7 linked regions of the Xenopus tropicalis genome follow. The protein of the gene in region 1 purifies or fractionates together with the protein of each later gene. This does not show direct contact. Links are inferred from orthologs where the notes say so. Each region holds a gene or a part of one and is shown in the gene's direction. Other genes may lie near its edges. The genes, in order: vapa, osbpl11, fam83g, miga2, vdac1, acbd5 and rab3gap2.

The links.
Region 2: the proteins of vapa (region 1) and osbpl11 purify together in Homo sapiens (co-immunoprecipitation; 4 studies listed by BioGRID and IntAct, counting the BioPlex papers as one, with this or other methods). This does not show direct contact. The link is inferred for Xenopus tropicalis from reciprocal best matches to the Homo sapiens genes VAPA and OSBPL11.
Region 3: the proteins of vapa (region 1) and fam83g purify together in Homo sapiens (co-immunoprecipitation; 3 studies listed by BioGRID and IntAct, counting the BioPlex papers as one, with this or other methods). This does not show direct contact. The link is inferred for Xenopus tropicalis from reciprocal best matches to the Homo sapiens genes VAPA and FAM83G.
Region 4: the proteins of vapa (region 1) and miga2 purify together in Homo sapiens (co-immunoprecipitation; 3 studies listed by BioGRID and IntAct, counting the BioPlex papers as one, with this or other methods). This does not show direct contact. The link is inferred for Xenopus tropicalis from reciprocal best matches to the Homo sapiens genes VAPA and MIGA2.
Region 5: the proteins of vapa (region 1) and vdac1 fractionate together in Homo sapiens (co-fractionation; 3 studies listed by BioGRID and IntAct, with this or other methods). This does not show direct contact. The link is inferred for Xenopus tropicalis from reciprocal best matches to the Homo sapiens genes VAPA and VDAC1.
Region 6: the proteins of vapa (region 1) and acbd5 purify together in Homo sapiens (co-immunoprecipitation; 4 studies listed by BioGRID and IntAct, counting the BioPlex papers as one, with this or other methods). This does not show direct contact. The link is inferred for Xenopus tropicalis from reciprocal best matches to the Homo sapiens genes VAPA and ACBD5.
Region 7: the proteins of vapa (region 1) and rab3gap2 purify together in Homo sapiens (affinity purification with mass spectrometry; 3 studies listed by BioGRID and IntAct, with this or other methods). This does not show direct contact. The link is inferred for Xenopus tropicalis from reciprocal best matches to the Homo sapiens genes VAPA and RAB3GAP2.

What each region holds. Positions count from the first base shown.
Region 1 is NC_030682.2:104,674,008-104,677,946, forward strand, and holds the start of vapa (vesicle-associated membrane protein-associated protein A), read left to right. Parts: upstream 1-1,139; 5' UTR 1,140-1,433; coding exon 1,434-1,491; intron 1,492-3,939. UniProt on the Homo sapiens protein: Endoplasmic reticulum (ER)-anchored protein that mediates the formation of contact sites between the ER and endosomes via interaction with FFAT motif-containing proteins such as STARD3 or WDR44.
Region 2 is NC_030685.2:89,887,235-89,890,734, reverse strand, and holds part of osbpl11 (oxysterol-binding protein-related protein 11), read left to right. Parts: intron 1-1,547; coding exon 1,548-1,696; intron 1,697-2,074; coding exon 2,075-2,215; intron 2,216-2,287; coding exon 2,288-2,774; intron 2,775-3,500. UniProt on the Homo sapiens protein: Plays a role in regulating ADIPOQ and FABP4 levels in differentiating adipocytes and is also involved in regulation of adipocyte triglyceride storage. Weakly binds 25-hydroxycholesterol. Interacts with OSBPL9 to function as lipid transfer proteins.
Region 3 is NC_030685.2:18,622,776-18,626,935, reverse strand, and holds the start of fam83g (protein FAM83G), read left to right. Parts: upstream 1-1,360; 5' UTR 1,361-1,456; coding exon 1,457-1,936; intron 1,937-4,160. UniProt on the Homo sapiens protein: Substrate for type I BMP receptor kinase involved in regulation of some target genes of the BMP signaling pathway. Also regulates the expression of several non-BMP target genes, suggesting a role in other signaling pathways.
Region 4 is NC_030684.2:21,660,416-21,664,597, forward strand, and holds the start of miga2 (mitoguardin 2), read left to right. Parts: upstream 1-1,382; 5' UTR 1,383-1,490; intron 1,491-4,182. UniProt on the Homo sapiens protein: Regulator of mitochondrial fusion: acts by forming homo- and heterodimers at the mitochondrial outer membrane and facilitating the formation of PLD6/MitoPLD dimers. May act by regulating phospholipid metabolism via PLD6/MitoPLD.
Region 5 is NC_030679.2:22,887,148-22,890,537, forward strand, and holds part of vdac1 (voltage-dependent anion-selective channel protein 1), read left to right. Parts: intron 1-57; coding exon 58-210; intron 211-300; coding exon 301-353; intron 354-1,306; coding exon 1,307-1,534; intron 1,535-3,199; coding exon 3,200-3,350; intron 3,351-3,390. UniProt on the Homo sapiens protein: Non-selective voltage-gated ion channel that mediates the transport of anions and cations through the mitochondrion outer membrane and plasma membrane.
Region 6 is NC_030682.2:24,939,412-24,942,911, reverse strand, and holds part of acbd5 (acyl-CoA-binding domain-containing protein 5), read left to right. Parts: intron 1-784; coding exon 785-899; intron 900-1,014; coding exon of another isoform or gene 1,015-1,047; intron 1,048-2,159; coding exon 2,160-2,315; intron 2,316-2,937; coding exon 2,938-3,132; intron 3,133-3,500. UniProt on the Homo sapiens protein: Acyl-CoA binding protein which acts as the peroxisome receptor for pexophagy but is dispensable for aggrephagy and nonselective autophagy. Binds medium- and long-chain acyl-CoA esters.
Region 7 is NC_030681.2:10,598,879-10,601,517, forward strand, and holds the end of rab3gap2 (rab3 GTPase-activating protein non-catalytic subunit), read left to right. Parts: intron 1-153; coding exon 154-372; intron 373-513; coding exon 514-672; intron 673-1,718; coding exon 1,719-1,862; 3' UTR 1,863-2,139; downstream 2,140-2,639. UniProt on the Homo sapiens protein: Regulatory subunit of the Rab3 GTPase-activating (Rab3GAP) complex composed of RAB3GAP1 and RAB3GAP2, which has GTPase-activating protein (GAP) activity towards various Rab3 subfamily members (RAB3A, RAB3B, RAB3C and RAB3D), RAB5A and RAB43, and guanine nucleotide exchange factor (GEF) activity towards RAB18.

The sequences.
Region 1 (3,939 bases):
ATTGTTATAAAAAGTTAAATAGAACTCTATGATTTCTATTAGGTTGTACCCCCTGCCTAATGCAGGCTGGGTGCATTAGGGTCACAACATGCCACATACTTTGGTAAATGTAAGAATACTGGGCATCAAGCTGTTCCAAAGATGAAAATAGTAAAATGGAAATAGCAACATGGTTTTACTCTAAAGTGGACAAAACCATAACATGTTGACGGGCGATGTAAAAGTTGTAGGGATGTACCAAATCCAGTATTTTGCCAAGATTTGGCCTTTTTCAGCAGGATTTGGATTTGGGCAGATTTATGCCTCTGACCGAAGCGAATCCGATTCCTTAAAATCACGTGACATTTTGTCACATAAACATGGAAGTTGAAGTTTTTTTTACTCTGCACTTTATCCCCTCCTCGTCCTAAAATTAGGATTCAGATTCAGTTCGGTACTTGGACGAATCTTTCACAAAATTGTTCAGGGTTTGGACGGATCCTAAAATAGTGGATTTGGGCGATCCCTTAAAAAGTGCTTGCGGCTTGTAATTGTGGGCAGGGCCTATTTTTGCCACAACAAATCAAAAGCATTTTTTACCAGAATTTATGCACATAATATGAATACATACATCTTTTTTTTCTATATTTTTACTGGAACTTTAACAATTTTTCCCAAACTGAAAAATTCAGTCTATTGCCATATGCAATATAATGGAACCTATGCAGTGGAATAGTTCAATAAACATGCAAGAGCAAGTTGCTTTACAGAGTGGTCTCACGTCGTTCCTGTGGGAATACTACAGCGCGACGCCTATAGGCTGCGTTTATAAAACTGGCATAAAGGGAAGCAATTGACAAACACCTCGTTCATTCTAAATAAGCATTAACTTGTATTGGTTTCAAATTCCCTAACATTTCCTTCACATTTGTTGCAGCATAACCGCTATCCCTTCCGCGGTGCTCAGCTGTAAAACGCCGTACTGTTTTTGAAGCACTAATGTGGAAGTGTGTGACGGGACGAATCCCGAGTGGGCGTTACCCAGGACACACGCTTGTTACGCGCATGTGCGTGCTGACGTCACCCAGTCCGTGTTCCTCCCGGCCGTGACGCGCTTGGGGCATTACGCGGTTGCCGCACTGTACTGTGTGTTGAGTCAGCGGTGACAAGGAGCGCAAGGGGGGAGGCGGAGGAGGAAAGAGCCGATACTGAACTGACCATAGTAACCCGAGCCTCGGAGCCCACACCGCTAGGCTGTGCCAGCTTTGGCCCGTTCTCCCCGCTCCAGCCTTGTCTTCCAGCGCTCGCTGCCTCTTTAAGTCACCCAGCTGCCTACCTGCTGGGCCTTCATTTGACATCTCATATTCGGCCACGTAACACAAGCGGCCTCCTCTTATTTTGCGTGTTGTGGGCCAGCCGAGCGGTGAATGGCGGTAGTTACACCCGGGGTCACCATGTCCAAACACGAACAAATCCTTATTCTTGACCCGCCCAACGAGCTGAAATTCAAAGGTAACGGGACGTATCTGGTTATGTGGTTCCGGGATGTGAGGCCACAATGCCCCGCTTTCCAGTTGTGTCTTGCGGGGAAAAGGCCTCTGATGGATGGAGAGAGTGTGGAGATTGCTGTTGCCTCTGTTGTGGTGAATCGGGGTGGCTAATCTCTGTCACATTGGTACTGGCAGCTGCACTCCTATCCACCACTGGAGGGCTGCAGCTTGGCCCTTTAGTCTATGGCACTGAGACAGCCAGTGCTAGCTGCTTACAGTGTGCTTTGTTTTACTTCTAATACTAACAGTGACAGCCTGAATAACACGTGATTGTACAATACCAGCAGATTTCACAATGCTGTACAGTAGAAGGGTGTATACATCAAACATACATTACATGAAATGTTTTAGTAAGTGTTAATTGGCCCATGATTCCCACTCTTGCAGCTCTAAAGCAATAAGTAAATATTATTTGACTTGTGGTGTTCAGGTGTGATTGGGCATTACATTGTAAAATACACTGGGGCAGGGATTTATGTGAATCATATATAATCAATGTAAAATGATGTGGTGTTCGTTGTTGCTATATAAATACAGGGTTGTGTGTGTGCTCAGAGCAGTCATGTCAGTAGCCATAGATTGCTTGGGCAGCTGTACAGAAAACTTGTTTAATGTTCAGGATTTAATTTAAGTATTGTTAGATTCACATAAGATGAAAGTGTGCACAGGCAGACTGTTGTTCCTGACAAGGCAATTAGTATAGTTGGCCATACATGGGCAGGTTTAAACTGCTGATTTGGTCCCTTCAGAACATTTTATCTGCCCATGTATGGGTCCTCCTGTCAGATTGCCCAGGTATCTATCAGGCAGGAGTAAATGCCTATTGGGGCATGGGTTACATTGCCTCATTTATGCAGTCCTCTCCTGGCCGCCTGTATCATTAGCCCGAAGATCAGTCCAGTATGGCCCAGCATATAATTGGCTTGTAAAGCGAAGTACCACACCAGCGCCTGCACATATTGGTAGCCTTCTTGGGAACTAAATGAACTCTCTGAAAACTGGCATTAAACAAGCACATAGGTGCCCATATTGGGCACAGAGCTGCTCATTTGGCAACCTGGACAAATGAGTGAATCTTCTTGTGTATAGCCACCTGAATACTGTGATAGGAAATATAAGGTGGGTGAGATCTTACAATTTCAGATCAATAATACAAGTGAAAGGATGAACTCTAAGCAGGTTTCAAGGACAACATTTATTTTTGGCCACCAGGTCTCTCTGTTTTAGCCTTAGGTATCCAGGTGTTGTGGGGTGTCAACTCCTTTAATTTCTTAACATATAATCCAAAATCCAATTAAAAGCATACTGAGAAAATAGGTTTCAGGCCACAAAACTGTTTTTAAACTGACTCAAACCACACAGATTTGCTGTCCCTATAGTGTGTTTGTGTGGTGGTGTTTTTTTTTTTTTTTTTTTTTTGGTAATCCTGAGGGAACTTTGGACTCTTACCAGTACAGTATTTCTCTGTTGCAGGAATGTCCCAGAATCCATTGGTTCTTTTTTTTATTTCTCCTACGCCTCACCTGCTTTTTATAAGCAATTTCACAATTTCTCTGCCCATTTGAAACATAATTGCCTACATTAAAGTTAAGATTACAGAAGGTTACAGGTGTTTTAAACATTACTGTTATTGCCATTTTTAAATCTCCTTTACAAACATTGTAATGTAAAATTCTGTCACTACAGGATCTGCTCCTACGAATGGGGAGCAAGGAGTTGAGGTATGTCAGGTTTACAGGTTTTAAGTAAAGATATGCTTTGGATCAAATTTTTAGTTTGGTCAGACCATCAGTGATCCAAAGGATTGCAGAAACATCCTAGGTGACATTTAGGTGCAGGCAGAAAAAAAAACACCCAATCTGGTCATAAATGTCCAATTTAATTCTATAAACTAAGCCAAAAACCTGTGCTTCTCTATTTTCTTTGTTTTCTTATTTTGCACTTCACAAACATGTACCAAGGAAGTAGCAGTCCTTATTGTCATAAAAAAAAAAAAAATCTAAACAATTTATTTTTTAATTTTTATTATTCACCTTTCATGAGAAACTCCACTACAGAGCTATACTAATGGCATCATGTGGGAGCACAAAATTGCACTGCAAGGCTCAGAAGGTTTGTCTGAGACTTGCAGGGATCTGGGCAAATCCTGAATGGACTACTGAGTTTAATGTATTCTTAATCTAATGGAGCAGGTATTCATCTGACAGACACTGGGGAAACAACTTTTGTCTGTGGTCACCCAGTAACACAATAAGAAATGTAGTAGTAAGGCATTTGTCATAAGCCCAGTTATGAGTTTAGTTTTCAGGTATTACTGGATTTTGTTTCAGCATGGGGATGTCAAAGCTTTATATGCAGGTATTTGCGCTTTTATTCCAATACCTGTTATCCAGAAAGCTCTAAGTTAGGG
Region 2 (3,500 bases), on another chromosome or scaffold:
GGCAGTGGTGTGAATAAGAAACTAGGAGATCAATAGGAGAGGCCTGTATAGAGTAATAAGAAACAAAAAGTAAAGTTATAGAATGGCCGATTCTAAGCAACTTTTCAATTGGTCTTCATTATTTATTTTTTATAGTAATTAATGAATTATTTGCCTTTTTTCTTCTTCTTCTGCAGCTTTCAAATGGGGGTCACTGACCCCGGCAGCCAAACCCTATTGCTCTGTGAGGCTCCAGTTCTATTGTTACTTTTTATAACTTATTTTTCTATTCAGCCCCTCCCCTATTCATATACCAGCCTCTCATCCAAACCACTCCCTGGTTGCTAAGGTCGCTTGGACCCTAGCAACCAAATAGCCGCTGAACTGAAAAGATAATAACTAAAAAACTACAAATAATAAAAAATGAAGACCAAGGTAACTTTCCCCAACATAATCGGTAAAATTTAGATAGTTTGGCACAAAGAGAACCCCCCATGTGTATGGATTGGCAAGTAATGCCCATAAAAACCAAAGGCTGCCAGAAGCCATATAAAGTGATTTTTATTGGCTGGTACTGTGTTTTTCAGGCATGGAGTCTTGTTATAGGGGGCACCCATACCCGGGGGGGCATTGGCTGCTGACTCGGCCACTCTTGGTAGCCATAGTAACCCAAAAAGCTCCATATAGCCGACCAGGATTCATTTGTATTCTGGTTGGGCTGGCTGGGAACTCCTTTTGGCTAAGGACCCAATGGACATGATCTACAATCAATGGCCCCCTGGGCTGAATGATCTGATTGGTAGTTTGTGGCCAAAGGGGCAGATAGGGAGGCGGCCAGACGAGCAGATCCTTAGCATATGTAATGAGAATAATAATAATAGGGAAAGGGGGAGAATTGTGACACCTCTCCATGTGACTCAGCAGCCGAGTGACTTTCTGTAAATGGGGTCAGTAAATGTTAAGCAGTCGGGGGGGGGGGGGCACATGTTGCTTGGATGAGCCGCAGCCTGAGAATGGAACAAGTGAATAATTCATGTGATTGGCAGATTAGTCGGGAGGTAACGGGAGCTCCGAGTCTCTTTCCAGGGGGGGTCACAGCTGAAAGTGCCCTGCGCTGGGTCCCTATCATTTCTCTGCTTGTGGGAGGGTCAGGGGGCACTAGGGGGCAGTTAGGCTCTTCCCAGCTGGGCCTGGGCACTACTTGTGCCTCTCGGTTCTGTCAGCCTGGGACCTGGCGCCGCCACATCTGGGTCATGTACAGGACACTGGGCTCTCTTCCTGTCACCGTGTCGCTTTACACCCCCCCGTATCGGGTTCCCAGACTGTGCCGGCAGATTCAGGTGACACTCTCCAGCCAATCGTATTGCAGTATGCTAATGGCTGGGAAAGGTGCTGCCTGTTGGAGATGCAGCTGAACAATTAGAAACGAGTTACCTGGCAGACTGGTGCCCGCTCGTGCCCGCAGCATCTGGGTTATATGGGTTGCCAAGGAGCCCCCGGCTGCCCACACTGTGCCCACTGAGCGCTCTGCTTCTTCTGGATTATGAGCAAATTTCCTCTCACTCCAGGTACAGCGATCAATTGGCTGGAAGCGAAAATCCAAATTCCCAATCATCTGAATAATGGGGAGGAGTCCGGCCTGGCGCTGCCGGAAAGCCAAGAGCAAGAGCTTCTGAGAGAGACGCAGGCCCTGTCTGATAGCACCCTGGCTTCTGGGGTAAGGTCTGTGGGGTACGGGGGGGGGGGCAAAGAAATAAAAAGGTGGTGGAAGTTGTTTCTTTGCTGGGGTTGCACTGATTGGTACATTCCTATTCCTTTCTGTAGGATTACACTGAACTAACATTCTCTGCCTCGGGGCTCCCTGATACTCTTAAGAGCTGCCGAGCCCAAGGCCTTGTATTAGCAGTCTAAAACTGCAAATATCTCCGATACCACAAAAATGCAAATGTGCTCAGAGGAGCACTCTGAATTAGTTTACAGAGTCATTTTTGGGGGTTTCGTTCCTTTAAGTGGGAGAAAAAGGGAAACTGAGTAGAAGTTGGGTGTGAGCGGGAAGCCCAGGATTTGTCTCCCATAGTCCCATTGTGTCCCATAGGAACCTGAAGACATAAACCCAGAGGATGAGGTGGAGGACGGGTGTGATCTCAAAGAGGATGAGTTGGGGGCCGTGGAGGAGCAGCGCAGCGTCATTTTGCATCTCTTATCCCAGCTCAAACTGGGCATGGATCTGACCCGGGTAAGGCAGTGCTCCCAGGAGCTTCCATTCTCTCACTCACCCAGAGACTGACTCCATGTTTCTCTTTCCTAGGTGGTCCTCCCCACTTTCATCCTGGAGAAACGCTCCTTGCTAGAGATGTACGCCGACTTCCTGTCCCACCCAGACCTCTTCCTGTCTATCAGCGCTGGCCTCACCCCCGAGGAGCGCATGGTGAGATTTGTGGAATATTACCTGACCTCCTTCCATGAAGGACGCAAGGGGGCGCTGGCCAAAAAGCCATACAACCCAATCATTGGGGAGACATTTCACTGCTCCTGGAGGGTACCCAAAGATTCTCTGCAGCTTTCTAACCCCACAGAGAAGCCCCCCAAAGCACAGGATCAGGCCCCGCTTGTGGAGGACTCAAATAAACCAGACTCTTACACCATTAGGTTTGTGGCTGAGCAGGTCTCCCATCATCCTCCGGTCTCAGGGTTCTATGCTGAGTGTCCGGAGCGCCGAATGTGTGTCAACACCCACATCTGGACAAAGAGCAAATTCATGGGGATGTCCATTGGCGTGACCATGATTGGAGAAGGTAGTGAGATCAATGTGTATTGACCCTTACTAATATCATTCTGGGTGTGTGAGTGGGTCTGTCTCCCACTAGGGATGTCGTTCTGAGTGTGTGAGTGGGTCTGTCTCCCACTAAGGATGTCGTTCTGGGTGTGTGAGTGGGTTTGTCTCCCACTAGGGATGTCGTTCTGGGTGTGTGAGTGGGTTTGTCTCCCACTAGGGATGTCATTCTGGGTGTGTGAGTGGGTCTGTCTCCCACTAGGGATGTCGTTCTGAGTGTGTGAGTGGGTCTGTCTCCCACTAAGGATGTCGTTCTGGGTGTGTGAGTGGGTTTGTCTCCCACTAGGGATGTCGTTCTGGGTGTGTGAGTGGGTTTGTCTCCCACTAGGGATGTCATTCTGGGTGTGTGAGTGGGTCTGTCTGCCACTAGGGATGTCGTTCTGAGTGTGTGAGTGGGTCTGTCTCCCACTAAGGATGTCGTTCTGGGTGTGTGAGTGGGTTTGTCTCCCACTAGGGATGTCGTTCTGGGTGTGTGAGTGGGTTTGTCTCCCACTAGGGATGTCGGTCTGGGTGTGTAAGTGGGTTTGTCTCCCACTAGGGATGTCGTTCTGGGTGTGTGAGTGGGTTTGTCTCCCACTAGGGATGTCGTTCTGGGTGGGGTTTCTCCACTGGATGTCGGTCTGGGTGTGTAAGTGGGTTTGTCTCCCACTAAGGATGTCGTTCTGGGTGTGTGAGTGGGTTTGTCTCC
Region 3 (4,160 bases), on another chromosome or scaffold:
GGTAAGATCTCAGACCCCTGTTGTCTGAATGCTCTGTTCTAAAGGTAGGTAGAATCTCAGCCATAAAGTGTAACAGAACTGCTGTGCTGGAGAGAAAGAAATAGAAGGCAGTTGGAAGCCACAAGAGAAGAAGCTGACCCACTCAGGACTGTGGGAGGCCCCTTCAGAGCCCAGACTTACAATTTCAATAAATGTTTATGGATAAGATCATTTTTAGTAAGATTTGGAAGGACCTAAAATACTTTTCATGTGTTCTATAATTTTTTTGTGGCTGGAACTGGAGGAACAGGAGGCCCCCTAACAATACAGGAAGGTTTGGGCTCCTGTTTGGCCAGGGCATTATATATGCTTCCTCCCACACTCCAAAACCATACAGGCAGGTTAATTGGCTTCCAATAAAAAAAATGGCCCCTCTGTATCTAAATATGATAGGGACATTAGATCAAGTCAACAGCTGAACTGGAGTATCTATAGAACATTGCCCATGGTGATAATGTCCCCTTACAGGAGAACTCTACCTGAAAAAGGAGCATCTATCTATCTATCTATCTATCTATCTATCTGTTTATATTGTCTATTCTTCTGCTTCTGACTCCTGAAACAATATAGCAGATGTCAATCTTTCAATGAACTTTTAGTATGAAATGCTATTCTGAGGCAATTTTCAATTGTTCTTTCATTTTTATTAGTTCAGTTTTTGAACTATTTAGCATCCTGTTCAGCAGCTCTCCAGTTTGGAATTTCAGGTGCTATCTGGTTGCTAGGGTCCAGTTTAACCCAGCAACCTGGCAGTTATTTGGAAAAGAGACAGGAATATGAATAGAGGAGGGAGTAAATAGACAAATAAGTAATAAAAAGTAACAATAAGACTGTAGCCTCACTTGTTACTTGACTGCCGGGGTCAGTGACCCCCATTAGAAAGCTGGAAAGTGTCCGAAGAGAAAGGCAAATAGTTTATAAACAATAAAAAATGAAGACCAATAGGAAAGTTGTTAAGAATAGGCCATTCTATAACATATTAAGTTAACCTAAAGGTGAAGCACCCTTTAAACAGGACAGACCGCCATTACTTTGTTTTGCTAGTCAGAACCAGAGTGCAGAAATGGATAACAAAACAGTTTTCAATAACAAATAGTTTTAAAACGAAAGGCAATTTTTAATGAAACTATGGTGGAACATTGCTTAGAAAACACGTGTTCTGTTTTTATGCAGTAAACAGTGTTTGGGTGGAGTTGCCCTTTAGAGCAGAGGCAGCTGAGGAACCAACTCATTACAACTTTGTTTAGGGCGTGTCAGTGCCGGGATGGGCGGGGTTATGGCTGCACGTCACATGATGGGGCGGTGCTCTGTTCCCTACCTGTAAGTTGTGTGAGGAGAGGATCAGTGAGGGGAGCGCTGCCGGCAGGCAGGAGTCGGGGAGAGAGCGGGTATCTGCCGAGGGGCAGCAGGGCACACCATGGCGCTGTCACAGCTCCAATGCCTGGACAATAACCATGTGAACTGGAGGGCCAGCGAGAGCAAAGCCGAGTTCTTCTACAGCGAGGAGCAGAGGCTGGCCCTGGAGGCGCTGCTGGCCCGGGGGACCGACGCTTTCTATGGGGTCGTCAAGCAGGAGAACATCAGGGACTTCCTCTCCGAGCTGGAGCTGAGCAGGATCGCCGGCCGGCTGGAGCCCTTTGACCCCGACTCTGGCCACTGCAGGGCGGCCGGGGAGGATGGCGAGCTGGATAGTGGGGAGGAAGAGGAGGATGGGGGGCAGTCGCTGGAGTACTGGCCCGAAAGATCGGACTGTTCCATTCCAGAGCTGGACTTGGGCTGGCCCGAAGCTGTAGCCTATCGGGGGGTGACCAGGGCCACGGTGTACATGCAGCCCCCGGTAGATGGGCAGCCCCATATCAAGGAGGTGGTCAGGAAGATGATCAACCAGGCGCAGAAGGTGAGTTATAGTTGCACCTATGTAACTTCTGTCTGCCTGTCCAGCAGTCTCTCTCATTCTGTCTGTCTGCCTGTCTAGCAGTCTCTCTCATTCTGTCTGTCTGCCTGTCCAGCAGTCTCTCTCATTCTGTCTGTCTAGCAGTCTCTCTCATTCTGTCTGTCTACCAGTCTCTCTCATTCTGTCTGCCTGTCCAGCAGTCTCTCTCATTCTGTCTGTCTAGCAGTCTCTCTCATTCTGTCTGTCTACCAGTCTCTCTCATTCTGTCTGCCTGTCCAGCAGTCTCTCTCATTCTGTCTGTCTAGCAGTCTCTCTCATTCTGCCTGTCCAGCAGTCTCTCTCATTCTGTCTGTCTGTCCAGCAGTCTGGCTCCTTCTGCCTGTCCAGCAGTCTCTCTCATGCTGTCTCTCTGTCCAGCAGTCTCTCTCATGCTGTCTCTCTCATGCTGTCTGTCTGTCCAGCAGTCTGTCTCCTTCTGGCTGTCTGTCTGTCCAGCAGTCTGTCTCCTTCTGTCTGTCTGTCCAGCAGTCTGTCTCCTTCTGGCTGTCTGTCTGTCCAGCAGTCTGTCTCCTTCTGGCTGTCTCTCACTTTATACATATCTCATGTGTCTGTCTATCTTTCTCTAAGCCTGATATAGACAGACAGAGGGAGATCTATAGGAGACTGCCAGGCAGTGGAGTGATTGTCTGTAGCCACCTGTGACTCCATCTCTCCAACAGTCTGTCTGTCTAACAGCCTCTGGCAACTTGCTGCCCTGCCAGCTGTTGAACTACAACTCCGGCTGTCAGGCAGTCGCTGGGAGTTGCAGTCCATCAATATGGTGAGATATTGCCAGAGGCTGATCTATGGTTTTGCCGTGTTGGCACGTTGCGCCTATCTATAAACTGACACAGTCGCCAATAATCCACGTAGCGCAGACCAAGGTATAGTCATTGAACTCCCATTCTGCTTATATAATACTCTAGGAATTTCCTTCTTGCCCTTGGTCTGTTGGGGGTGCTGGGAGTTTTAGTTGAAAAACAAGATTCCGATACAACTCTGGGAGTTTTAGTTCAACACAAGTGCGTGGATTCCGATACAACTCCCTGTAGGGGTGCTGGGAGTTTTAGTTCAACACAAGTGCGTGGATTCCGATACAACTCCTGGTAGGGGTGCTGGGAGTTTTAGTTCAACACAAGTGCGTGGATTCTGATACAACTCCCTGTAGGGGTGCTGGGAGTTTTAGTTCAACACAAGTGCGTGGATTCTGATACAACTCCCTGTAGGGGTGCTGGGAGTTTTAGTTCAACACAAGTGCGTGGATTCCGATACAACTCCTGGTAGGGGTGCTGGGAGTTTTAGTTCAACACAAGTGCGTGGATTCCGATACAACTCCTGGTAGGGGTGCTGGGAGTTTTAGTTCAACACAAGTGCGTGGATTCTGATACAACTCCCTGTAGGGGTGCTGGGAGTTTTAGTTCAACACAAATGCGTGGATTCCAATACAACTCCCTGTAGGGGTGCTGGGAGTTTTAGTTCAACACAAGTGCGTGGATTCCAATACAACTCCCTGTAGGGGTGCTGGGAGTTTTAGTTCAACACAAGTGCGTGGATTCCAATACAACTCCCTGTAGGGGTGCTGCCGGAATGGGTTGATCCACCCGTGTGATTCCCCTAGGGACCTGCTTCATTGCTCAGGAATGCTGACATTCCCCCGAGGTGCAAAGCAGGGGAACATGGGGGTGAGACACTTCCCGTAGGAGGAAAGCCATTTCCTGTAGAAGGGTGGTGCCACCCATTGCCCAACTTGTTTGGGAGAATTGCACCCATGCCCCTTGATTGAGGATTCACCGTAAGGTGATGCAATAGAAACCTTCAGCCGTATGTATTTAGAAGACTTGGGCACGGCTATGGGCACACAGGGCAATTTGGCAACTATGGTTTAGGTGCTGGGGTCCATCTCACCCCCATGGCATAAGCTTGCAGGGAACAGACATGTGACTCGGGGTACGGGCACCAAGCTGCTTGTACGCCCAGGATGTGATCCTTTTATTGCCCGGCAGGCAGTGGTGCCAACCTGTATGCCAAACCTTTCTTCACCTTCTGTCAACAAAAGCAGCAGATTAAAACTTTTTAAAGACGCACAGCTCTGTTATAGAGAGAATAGCCAGTGTAGTGAGATCCTTGCAGGGGCCCCTGACGTACATTGCTTTTGTTTAACGGACAGAAGTCTGTATATGAGCCTGAA
Region 4 (4,182 bases), on another chromosome or scaffold:
TCCGACCTGCAGCTCCCTCCATCGTTCCGCTGCGTCTGTTCCCCGTCTCCCCGCTGCATCCTTTTTATGGTTGCGCCCCCTGCGCACGAGCACGCACGAAGCGCAACCAATCAGGGCCCAGAAATTATTTAAAGGGACCCGGAGTCGGCGGGCCGGATTAAAAAGGCCAACGGGCCGGATGTGGCCCGCGGGCCGTAGTTTGCCCACCTCTGGTTTAGCCACTACTGGCTCAGTCTCTCTGAGGATTCAGTTCCACACTCCACTCCTGGAGGAAATACCCTTTCCCAGTTCAGTCCTGGCAAAGTCCCTTCCCCAGAGCTCTTTTAGTTTCCCAGGTAGTGCTACCCGCCCCAAAGTACCTCTCCCTTTGGAATAGGCAGTTGCTCCCACATAGCAGGCCCTGAGAAACACCTGTCCTCACACAGGGGACACACACAGGAGACTTCCAATACCTTTCCCTCAGATGGATCACTCACTGGGATCTGCAGGGGGTAAAGGCATCCAACAGCAGTGTAGCAGATCTCTCTTTACAGGCACTCAAATCCTTCACACTGTCACTGCTTACTGGATCTCTCTGTCTCAACTCTGGCAAAACAACAGGGGCTCCCTTTATAAGCTGCTGGGCCCCCCCTGATTTTTGGCTCCAAACCTAGGCACACCGTTCTCTCCCATCAGCGCACTGGGGCAGGGCCGGCCTTAGGCCGATTGGACCTATTACCTGCAATTGGGCCCCGCACCCCGGAATCAGTTTTAATAGCGCATCCCGCTGTCCCGGATAGTGCCATGTACTAAGGGGGCCCCGTAAAAATGGCTCCAATTGGGCCCCACAGTTGGTAAGGGCGGCCCTGCACTGGGGCACCCAGCCAATCGGGTTCCTCCCCAGTCTGTAGCCAGGCGGGATAATGTCACAGACTCAGAAACAGGGGAAAGAGTTCTCTTGATCCCCTACAATACGTTGATCCCCCCCAAACCCATATATTTTTGGAAAGTACACATTCGGGTGAATTCAAAATGGGCACCCATGTCTGTCTAATGCCTTACTTACACACCTACAACCCCCCCCCATCCATAACCAGAGACCTTTCCTGCTGCCACAGCCCACTCACATTCGATAGATAGCTTTAGTTTCCACACACACTGCCCTAGAGTCAAATACCCCCCACAGACAAACCTAGCGCAGCTCATCCCACCACCCCCCATAGAACTAACCCAATCTGCCGTCAAAACAAAAAAGTACACAAACCCCCCCAATGGAAACACTGCCTGTATCGAGCCGCTCTCTCCGCGGCTTCCGAGTAAACCATTGAGCCCGCACTCACCTACACTCTATCTACAGCCGTTTGAAAAAAGCGCTGAATGTTAAGTGTGGAGACGTCACCACGTACTCACGTTTTGTGATGTCACTCGCGACCATTTGCAACTAGGAACTGGCAGCTGCGCGGAGACGCTAGAGAGCGGAGGAGAAGCTTGTCCTTCTGAGGAGTGAGAGGGTGAGTGACTGCCGGTCCCTGAATAACAGCTCTGGAACTGTTTATGCTTAGGGCCGGGCACTGGTACCGCGCTGATCTTGCTGCGTTAGAATATACATCACCGTTTCGATACATATGTCTGGGTTTCGCCTGTGCGAACTCACAGAGCTGCAGTGTTCTGGAACCTAGTGACTGGCAGCTGAGCCTCTATGGGCTCCAGCCACTTGATCACTAGTTAGTTCTCCCAATGGGCCCCGGATTGACAGGAAGCTCAGTGCAGTTGCCCATAGTAACCAAACACAAGCAGTGATGTGTCTTAACTTTACTTTGCCCCGCAGGCAGATATGTGTAGGGCCACTAGTGGGGAGGAATTGGTTATTGTGTATCAGTGGGACACACCAGTCAGGCGACTGCCACACCATGATGCCATTTTTGTGCCAAACTCATCAGCTGAGCCTGTCATTACTTATTATGTCACCCCCCTGTGACCAGTGGTGATGAGTAGATTTCTCCCTGAAGCCTCTCAACAGCGGCCGGAGAATTCCTTCATCCTCTCTTGTGTGCCATAACCCTTGTGCTGCCGCTCATGTCTTAAAAATACCCTAGTGATAAAGTCCTTATATTAGGCTCAGTTTTATCAGGGGCCATTTAACCACCCAGTATATTTTTGGGGTGTGGGAGGAAAGCAGAGTGCCCTGAGGAAACACACAGAGACAGGTCTGGATTGGGACTCAAAATAGGCCCTGACCCCCACAGGCCCAATAAATAGCAACTGTCTATGGCATCTTACAGCAGCCCCTCTGGCATTTGCCATATTCTCCAGATTGCCAGTCCAGGCCTGAAGAGAGATCATACAATTTCTTGCAGCTATTGCCCTGGCTAAAATCAAACCCCCAGCACTACAAGGCAACATACTAACTGTCACTGCACCTCATCTCCTGGAAACTGCAGAGGTCAAAGCATGTGGCTGCATTTATATGAATATATATATATATATATACAGTGGCTTGCAAAAGTATTCGGCCCCTTGAACTTTTCCACATTTTGTCACATTACAGCCACAAACATGAATCAATTTTATTGGAATTCCACGTGAAAGACCAATACAAAGTGGTGTACACGTGAGAAGTGGAACGAAAATCATACATGATTCCAAACATTTTTTATAAATAAATAACTGCAAAGTGGGGTGTGCGTAATTATTCAGCCCCCTGAGTCAATACTTTGTAGAACCACCTTTTGCTGCAATTACAGCTGCCAGTTTTTTAGGGTATGTCTCTACCAGCCTTGCACATCTAGAGACTGAAATCCTTGCCCATTCTTCTTTGCAAAACAGCTCCAGCTCAGTCAGATTAGATGGACAGCGTTTGTGAACAGCAGTTTTCAGATCTTTGACTGGGCCATTGTAACACATGGATATGTTTTGTTTTAAACCATTCCATTGTTGCCCTGGCTTTATGTTTAGGGTCGTTGTCCTGCTGGAAGGTGAACCTCCGCCCCAGTCTCAAGTCTTTTGCAGACTCCAAGAGGTTTTCTTCCAAGATTGCCCTGTATTTGGCTCCATCCATCTTCCCATCAACTCTGACCAGCTTCCCTGTCCCTGCTGAAGAGAAGCACCCCCAGAGCATGATGCTGCCACCACCATATTTGACAGTGGGGATGGTGTGTTCAGAGTGATGTGCAGTGTTAGTTTTCCGCCACACATAGCGTTTTGCATTTTGGCCCAAAAGTTTCATTTTGGTCTCATCTGACCAGAGCACCTTCTTCCACATGTTTGCTGTGTCCTCCACAGGGCTTGTGGCAAACTGCAAACTGGACTTCTTATGGTTTTCTGTTAACAATGGCTTTCTTCTTGCCCACTCTTCCATAAAGGCCAACTTTGTGCAGTGCACGACTAATAGTTGTCCTATGGACAGATTCCCCCACCTGAGCTGTAGATCTCTGCAGCTCGTCCAGAGTCACCATGGGCCTCTTGGCTGCATTTCTGATCAGCGCTCTCCTTGTTCGGCCTGTGAATTTAGGTGGACAACCTTGTCTTGGTAGGTTTACAGTTGTGCCATACTCCTTCCATTTCTGAATGATCGCTTGAACAGTGCTCTGTGGGATGTTCAAGGCTTTGGAAATCTTTTTGTAGCCTAAGCCTTTTTTTAAATTTCTCAATAACTTTATCCCTGACCCGTCTGGTGTGTTCTTTGGACTTCATGGTGTTGTTGCTCCCAAAATTCTCTTAGACAACCTCTGAGGCCGTCACAGAGCAGCTGTATTTGTACTGACATTAGATTACACACAGGTGCACTCTATTTAGTCATTAGCACTCATCAGGCAATGTCTATGGGCAACTGACTGCACTCAGACCAAAGGGTCTCAGGATCTCAAAGGGTCTGCACTCAGACCAAAGAATAATTACGCACACCCCACTTTGCAGTTATTTATTTGTAAAAAATGTTTGGAATCATGTATGATTTTCATTCCACTTCTCACGTGTACACCACTTTGTATTGGTCTTTCACGTGGAATTCCAATAAAATTGATTCATGTTTGTGGCTGTAATGTGACAAAATGTGGAAAAGTTCAAGGGGGCCGAATACTTTTGCAAGTCACTGTGTGTGTGTGTGTATATATATATATATATATATATATACACACACACACACACACACCGCACACATTTATTTCATGCATGCAATATATAATCAGAAATGTTTTTTTTTTT
Region 5 (3,390 bases), on another chromosome or scaffold:
CATGATTACACAACTTCCAGTAACAGAATATTGTGTGTATACTTCTCTGACTTACAGGAATTTACAAGCTCAGGATCAGCGAATGCAGAGACTAACAAAGTTGCTGGCAGCTTGGAAACCAAATACAAATGGGCAGAATATGGCCTTACTTTCACAGAAAAGTGGAATACAGATAACACATTAGGGACAGAGATCACTGTAGAAGACCAGGTAAATATCCTAATTTGAGATAATTTAACTCTGGAACTTGTGAGTAAGATATGTCTTACAATTTAAATACATAATATGTTTTCTCTTTAGCTTGCAAAGGGTCTGAAGCTGACATTTGACTCTTCATTTTCTCCTAACACAGGGTAAGAAGAATCTGCACTTAAATAACTGAGAGTTTTTAATTATATACAGCCCTCCAAGGGGAGCATGAATTAGTAGCTGGGGGACCCAGCATGAAAGATTAGGGTAATTCCACATAGGGCTAATCAGGGGTGTAAACGTATTTGCTGTCCTAGCTATCCTTGTAACTGGCTGAATAATTACATTTATAGAACGTTCAGCATAATCAGATAACCAAAGGCCATCCACACCATCCAGTTCTTTTCAGTATCAAATTTGCCACTGACAGGCAACAGGGATGTTCCTAGATAGCATAGGTTTTTAGCTCATCTGGAACTGATTTGCCAGACTCCTTATGCTTGCTCAGCTCCACTGTAAATTTATAGGACTACTGTGAGTGAAAATAGATAGGCGTAAAGCTTACAAATAAATTATGCATGAGATCTAGGCAACATTTAAATCTGTATAGTGTAGTGGAAAGATGGCTGAAACTCTGTGTGGCTTTACTAGCAAGAGGTATTAATTATTTGTGTTATTATTAGTTACTGGTAGGATTACCTTTTGCTTTGATTTTCTGCCTCACACAACTTAGCAAGTTTTGCTGGGTTACACAAACACTTCAAAATATTGAAAAAACAGTGCATTTCACTGGGTTAAACTAATGTGACTTTGGCAAACAAAAAAGCTTTATCCAGATTTGATCCTCGCTGAATACTGGGGAGAGCTTTTGTGTAAAACTGATATGTATATAAAACATATCTTAAACAGGCGTGTAAACAGATGGGGTGGGGTGGGGGTGCATGCTTGACACCCTTGGTAGCCAAAAGACACTTCCTCAGAAGCATTAGCACCAAATTATAGCATTAGGAATATTTAGTAAGTCAAAACACACAATATATATTATAAAACAGATAAGGGAATCTATTCGCTAATAATAATTCCTAATACCAATTTATTCTTTTCTCAAACTATATAGAAAGAAGAATGCAAAAGTCAAGACTGCATACAAGCGAGAGCACCTTAACATTGGCTGTGACATGGATTTCGATATTGCTGGCCCATCAGTGCGGGGAGCTGCAGTGTTTGGCTATGAGGGATGGTTAGCTGGCTACCAAATGACTTTCGAATCCTCAAAGTCCAGAGTCTCCCAAAGCAACTTTGCAGTTGGATACAAAACTGATGAATTTCAGTTGCATACCAATGTGTAAGTCAAACAAAACATTTCTTGTATAAGCAATTCAGCACAATGTTAAAACTTTCACTGCTAATCCACATAAACATTTTTGTGATCTTTTACTTTTACCCTGTGGGGAAACATTTTGTTTTCCAAGAGATTTAGTTTGAGTCTACAATAGCTTGTAAAGGTAATGGTAATAATGAGAAAAATGGCAAATTGTGAAACACCCACAACGATGAACAATAAACAACAGTGCATTATTAATAATGTACTAAATATCCATGAATTCTAAATGTTATACTAATCAGCCAAGGAATTGCTTCTACTGTTGCGAGGGGGTGTGGACAATTGCAAATCATTTAGTGAAAAAAAGAAATAGCAAAACATTGTTGTGGTCAAATCATTGCCCTGACTATTATGAATGAATACAGGATTATCCTTTTATTATCTCATACTAATAAAAACAATTAGTGGGGCATTAACCCCCTTATAGGCTGCTGCTAGTTAAAGGTAACTAAAATAATACATTTTCAGTGACATATAAACCTGTATCGCAGAATTAAAAAAAATATATATATGACTATAATAAATATGCATATATTATAATATGGTTAAGGATTCTGAAATGATATGGGTTTTAACATACAAGGGGTCCTACTGCAGAGCATCTTATGGATTGTGTATATATATATATATATATATACTGAAACAAGCACAGCACTCCTAGGATTTAGGGTCTTATTCATAACATTCATGCACTTATTTTTTTGCCCACAATAGCATTTTTTATATTTTACATAATTAAAATAGACCAAAAAAACTATAAACAAAGACACATCTGATTTAGAAAGCCCCATATCTTCTAAGTGTAGCAATACCAGATATGGATAGTTTACCAAGATTCCTGAATGAGGTACCTGAGATATTTTTTTGCATTTGGTCATATCTAAGCATCATAGACATTTGACATAGACTTTTTAATAGAAGATAAATATTGTTTAGAGAGGTTGAACTTCAACCCTAAGTAACTTAGACTCGGCCCATATAAAGCTGACAATATAACGTATATACAACGCACATGTGCTAGGGTTCATTTCATCAGAAGAACTAACCTTTCTCATGTTTTTGGCTTGACCTAGAAGTCTGCACTAGCAGACCCAAATTTTGGTTTTAAAAAATGAAAATTTGGCTCTTAAAGTTACCAGAGGCGGCTTTTTGCCAACCCTAGTAACTGGCTGCTCACTGCCACCTGAGGCAAGGTTCTCACAGGAGCAGCCCAAATCAACCATTTATTCCTCCAGATTTTTCTGCTTCCTGGTAACTTACTTATATGGACAGGGACACCAGAGCAGCTCCATACCTGTGGAATTCATTTGCAGAGAACAGAGGCACAAAATACATTCTACAAAAAAAGTCCTCAGTTCCTGCAATGACATATCAGCCTTGCTGATCCTAATTATAAGTAACACGTTTTTATCTCAGTGAGAACCATTAACATAACATTTCACTAACATACCGATTTTATATGTTGTGTCTCGCATATCCCTATTTGGATTGTAAGCCCTACTGCATTGTGGGCCCTTTTGCATTGGTTTTTTATTGAAAAGTACAGATCATTTACAATGTTGCAGAAAATGCTGGCATGTTTTAAATTGTCCAGTAATAATAATATTTGTGGTATATTGCCAACAGAAATGACGGTACAGAGTTTGGTGGTTCTGTATATCAGAAGGTTAATGATAAACTGGAAACTGCAATCAACCTTGCATGGACAGCAGGAAACAGCAATACACGCTTCGGAATAGCAGCCAAATATCAAATCGATAGTGATGCTTCGTTTTCAGTAAGTACAAACAATGAAGCACATCTTCATAAACTTCATC
Region 6 (3,500 bases), about 80 Mb from region 1:
AATGTATGTATGTATATCTTTATTTATAAAGCGCTACTTATGTATGCAGCGCTGTACAGTAGAATACATTAATACAAACGGGATTATTAAGATAATAATAGATAAATACAAAGTACAACAATAAATACAGATAGATACAAGATAAATACAGTTGCAATAAGTTAAGAGTCAAAGACACAAGAGGATGGAGGTCCCTGCCCCGTAGAGCTTACAATCTATATGGGAGGGTATGATTGATCTTCAGTCTAGACCCCTAACCCCTTCACTGAGCTACTTAGTATCAAACCTCCTGGTCCAATTTCATGTGTTTTGCCCTCCACCAAAAAGGTGGTGGGCAAAATACAGGAAATTGCTGTGTGCCATTGGCCTTAAGATGTAAAAAGGATAAAGCAAACCTAGTTCTTTTTTTAACTAAGAATATATATATTTTTATATATATTCCTTTTATTATTTTCACATTTAGTCATAATAATTTGGTGACCAAGTTAGTGTCTGTATCAGAAAAAGTTAAAAATAGGGAGCATACAGAATTGAAGTCAGCTAATCACTATTGCTTTGTTTGCAGCAAAACATACAGTAGTAGCTGCCTGCTTCTCCTTATTTGTCCGAATGTTGAATCCATGAGCTGCTTGCTGCTCAAATAACCATGCAATAGAGCAAAACACAAACCCTGTATCCTTGGTATCCTTTTTAATGAATCTACAGACAGAGAAAAAGTGAGTGGACAAAGCAACATGACTTTGCCTCTTTACTGTTTTATGACATATTGCCTTTTGGACGCTAGATCCTTGAGACTATGCCAGTGACGGAAAAAGTGGAAGAATTGCTTCAAGTCATAGGTCCGTTTTATGAAATAGTGGAAGACAAAAAACATGGGCGAGGATCTGGTGTGACATCAGGTTGGGCTTAACTCGTGTTTTGTTTCATAGTACTCTATAGTCATTGTTTCTTTCTCTGCTCTCTGTCTGTCTCCAGCAATCAGATCTTTCTCTTCTCTCTCCTTTCACATGCCAGTACGACTGGACAGAGTGACTAAATCTTTAGAAGGTAGGAGGGGAAAAAAATCCTGTCCTTTAAGTTTATATGTGGCTTGTGTTTGAACACGAGTAATGGCCGACAGGGAGACTTAAACTATTTGAGAGTTTTGTAACCCCATGGGTAGGAGAAACTTTTTTCAAATTAAATTAAAATATTTGCCAAGCGATGGGTCTGGACTGTAGCCCAGAGCATTTTACTGGAAAATGCAGTGCTATGTGTTTTTAAATGATAAACACTGGTCACTTGATTGAATACAGTGCTTGGCAGTGACCCCATTTACTTTGAACGGGCGATGATTTTGAGCATTTTGTCCTTCTACAGAATGAAAAACACTTAAAATTGCCCTTCCTGCCTTTACCATTAAAGGCAATGAATGCAATATTTATATGGCAGCCTACAGGGCATTTTGTTGCACATGGGAAATCACACTCTCCACGGTGTGTAAAGCATGTTTCAACAATATTTTGTATATTTTTCAAAATTCAAACTGTTAATATTCTGTACATTTCGCTGATTTAACATCATGGGACTAGTTTCTTTGTCACTTTTTTTTTTGTTAAAGGGCCATTTTACCCTCAGAGGTGAGGCAAATTTTTCTGACAATTTAATGGTATCCTTCTGAAAAGTCTGACAAAGATTATAGAGTAATATCTGCTATAGTAAACTCCATTTATGGCCCTCTTTGGCTGACCATCCCCTCAGCGATTTCGGGTCACACCCATCCCTTCTCTGGCTCCTTGGTAGGGGATTGTAAAGCAAGTAAGGAAGGTGTGATCCAGTCAGCCTAAGAGACCGTGTCAGTTTAGACAAGGCTAATACTGGAAGCCTGGTCAACAATATTATTATTGAAGCTGAGGTTTAAAGCCAAGGGATGGAAATAATTAATCCCCATTAAAAATATACATGTGGAAAATAAAAAGTGATTTGTATAGTGGCCCTTTAAGAATAACATATAAATATATCAGGTTTAGGTACATTAGTTTAAACCTTTAGCCTCTTAGATTGGATCATTTTCATATTGGGCTTAATAAAGTCACTGTGTTGTGATCAGGGTTAGCTTGTTGTGCTAGACAAGCAGTGTTACTGTTACCTACACTGAATATCTTTTTTTTTTTTTTTAGAACTTGGCAGTGTCCTGACATCTACACCAAATGGCAAGGCAGTGAATGGCAAGGCAGAGAGCAGTGACAGCGGCGCAGAGTCAGATGAAGAACAGGCAGCAACAAAGGAAGTTAGGGAGGAAGATGAAGAAGAGGAAAGTGAGCATAGCGAGCAAGGTAATAGTTTGTGAAACCTCAGCCTCCTTTTTTATTGGGTATTTGGAAACACATATACATAGCTAGTCCATCCTTATTGAAGCAGACTAAGCAATTTGTAAGGGCTGCACTCTCAGATGATTTTTATGTAATTACATAATGCATTCAGGTGACCGATTTTCTCATAGACATGGGTGCGGTTGTGATCCAACTCAGACCCAGTAGCTTAGTCAAGCTGAGTTAGATCATAGTCTGTAATGAGAATGGGGCTTTAATGGTTCATCTAAATGCTATGTAGTACTTACTGTGCTATAATACCAGAAATATTCAACTCACATTATGTTACAGGTGCTCGCTGAGAGTAAACTGCAGCCTTGAGGCTCACACTCAAATTTACATTATTGTACCATGGTGAGATTCAAAGATGTCATAAATGGGCTTTTATATCTGCACTTCTATGTTTAAGGACACAAGGCAAAGTTCACATCCCACACAATTTCACTCTATTTTAATTGGTCACTCTGTATTTATTTTTTTAAATTATTTTTTTTCTGTAGTCATTTGGCTTAATGTAAGGTTTATTCCTTTGTATGATATTCTACTAATCAATACAGTCTTGTTGTCTTCCTGCATTTCCTTACAGAAGACAAAGATGTGGAACAGCAGCCTGGACACGAGAAGCCTGCAGAGAGTATTGTTAATGGTTTAACCAGAAACCACAGAGAGTTGGTAACAGAGGAGCCAACTCCCCTCCCTTCCAAATGTCTCAGTGAGCCAGGAGATAAGGTGGCCATTCCGGACACACACAGTCCTGTGAATGATCCTGAAGCAGACAGAGGTGCATACACAAAACCAACTCAACACAAGAAACACAACCAAATCACATGCAATTTATTATTAGGCTTCCAATGTGCTCCAAGCAGTCGATGAGGGCTAAAACATTTAATCTGGCTTTCAAACACACATCTTGGGTAGCCAAACCAAATATAGATCCATGTGCTAATTGTATGTTGAGCTTTAGGGCTTTGCTACACCACTGTTCTTGTGGAAGTTGTATGCACAATAAGGTAGTTTAAGGAAAGCTGGAAGTATATGAACAATAACAAATTAGTGTGTAATCCTACAGGGGGATGTAGCATAGAAGGTGTATCATTTGGGCTAAGTCATTCACAGACACATAGAAGCCTTTACAAGACACCAGAGATG
Region 7 (2,639 bases), on another chromosome or scaffold:
CCTTTAGCTTGCCGATTGATAAGTGGCTGATGTTCGGCCAGTAACAGGGCCCACACACATATATTTGCACCTGAATGAGATGGAACATTAGATCTCTGTGCATTTTAGTAGTAACACACAAAATAATAACATTTCCTTCTCTCCTGCCCCAAGTTTTTGCTAAAGGTGATCAGTTCAGCCATCCAGACGCTGGCGGAGACTCAGGAGCCCACCCAGTCAGAGCACTCTGCAGCCGAAATCCCCGAGAAGTCAGTGGACTGGCCGGAGCTGGCTGTGGGATTGGCCCGGCACCTACAAGTGAATGAAGATACAATATGGAGACATTACGTGTGTGAGCTGTACAGCTACGGCTTCGATCACTTGGCGGAAGAGGTGAGTGTGACTTCCTGTCCTGCTCGGCCAATGAAATGTATCCGTAACGGATGTGCCAGTCTAGGATCCGGGCCAGAGCTCAGAATGGCGCCTGTATCCTTGCACGTAGGTAATATCCCTCTCGCTGTGTCTCCTTGGCAGGCCATTCTCCGAGTACTGGACAAGGAGGTGCTGGCGTCTCAGCTACTGGTGCTCACGGGGCAGCGCCTGGCATACGCTCTGCTACACACACAAACCAAGGAGGGCATGGAGCTACTGGCAAGGCTTCCTCCCACTCTCTGCACGTGGATAAAAGCAATGGTAAGAGCCTGCGGGATGGGAGGAGCATGGAACGGTCACTACATTATTATAGCACAAAAGTATAGTAGTAAGGTAGGCCTTACTGTATGCTGGAAACCAGAGAGCCGCCATATTGCTTGTCTGAGAGCCGCCATATTGCTTGTCTGGGCATGGGAATTCCCACAGACAATACAGCAGCACCACTTGCGCTAAACAGATGCTGCTGCCGATGTAGGACCCCCTCCCAGAGAACATTATAGTACAGGTATGGGACCTATTATCCAGAAGGCTCGGGACCTGGGGTTTTTCGGATAAGGGATCTTTCCATAATTTGGATCTGCATAACTTAAGTCTGCTAAAAATCATTTACATATTGAATAAACCCAATAGGGCTGTTCTGCCCCAATAAGGGGTAATTATATCTTAGTTGGGATCAAGTACAGGTACTGTTTTATTATTACAGAGAAAAGGGAATCATTTAACCATGAAATAAACCCAATAGGGCTGTTCTGCCCCAATAAGGGGTAATTATATCTTAGTTGGGATCAAGTACAGGTACTGTTTTATTATTACAGAGAAAAGGGAATCATTTAACCATGAAATAAACCCAATAGGGCTGTTCTGCCCCAATAAGGGGTAATTATATCTTAGTTGGGATCAAGTACAGGTACTGTTTTATTATTACAGAGAAAAGGGAATCATTTAACCATGAAATAAACCCAATAGGGCTGTTCTGCCCCAATAAGGGGTAATTATATCTTAGTTGGGATCAAGTACAGGTACTGTTTTATTATTACAGAGAAAAGGGAATCATTTAACCATTAAATAAACCCAATAGGGCTGTTCTGCCCCCAATAAGGGGTAATTATATCTTAGTTGGGATCAAGTACAGGTACTGTTTTATTATTACAGAGAAAAAGGGAATCATTTTCAAAAATAAGAATTATTTTCTTATAATGGAGTCATTTCCATTTCCATAATTCGGAACTTTCAGGATAATGGGTTTCTGGATAAGGGATCCCATACCTGTACAGTACTAGTAAATGACATCCTTTCATCTATTTCAGGACCCCCAGGAGCTGCAGAACACGAATGTGCCAATCGACGCTACAGCAAAGCTCGTGGATAAAGTGGTTGAACTGTTGCCTGAGAACCACGGCCAGTACAGTCTTGCCTTAAACCTGATAGAGGCTGTGGAAGCCATGTCTTGATTGGCCTTAGCGCCATGACCTGGGGGTGGGGGACGGGGAAAGAGATTCCTGCATGTAAGATAGAGCGGTTGCTTTGGGGTTTCAGGGCTTTTTGTAAGATAAGTGTCGGCACTAGCACCGCGTTCATAATTCCTCATCGTTCCTTTTAATCCTCGGCCAATAAGGTCTCGCCTATCATGAATATGCAAGTATATATGTTCCGTGTCGCTCTGTCCCACAGAGATCCTTATTTATTGCAATCTATGATTTATACATAAAGTTTCATCGTGAATCACTACGTGCAATAGGCCCCTTAGGGCAGCGGCACTCGTGTCTCATCGCAGCCATTCCCCATAAGGAATAATCCTGCCCACAAGCAGCCCCCAGAACCCCCCGTATGTGCCAAAGCCCCTAATGAGGCCCAACATCGATTTGTAATCAGATTCTCTCATTCTGGGAGCAAAGCAAGAAATCAAATGACATATCCCTTAGTTACATCACCAAACGCAGGCCAATCCTAGCAGCCAACTCAGCCAACAGCCGGCCCCTGTGTGTGGGGCAAACAGCCGGCCCCTGTGTGTGGGGCAAACAGCCGGCCCCTGTGTGTGGGGCAAACAGCCGGCCCCTGTGTGTGGGGCAAACAGCCGGCCCCTGTGTGTGGGGCAAACAGCCGGCCCCTGTGTGTGGGGCAAACAGCCGGCCCCTGTGTGTGGGGCAAACAGCCGGCCCCTGTGTGTGGGGCAAACAGCCGGCCCCTGTGTGTGGGGCAAACAGCCGGCCCTGTGTGTGGGGCAAACA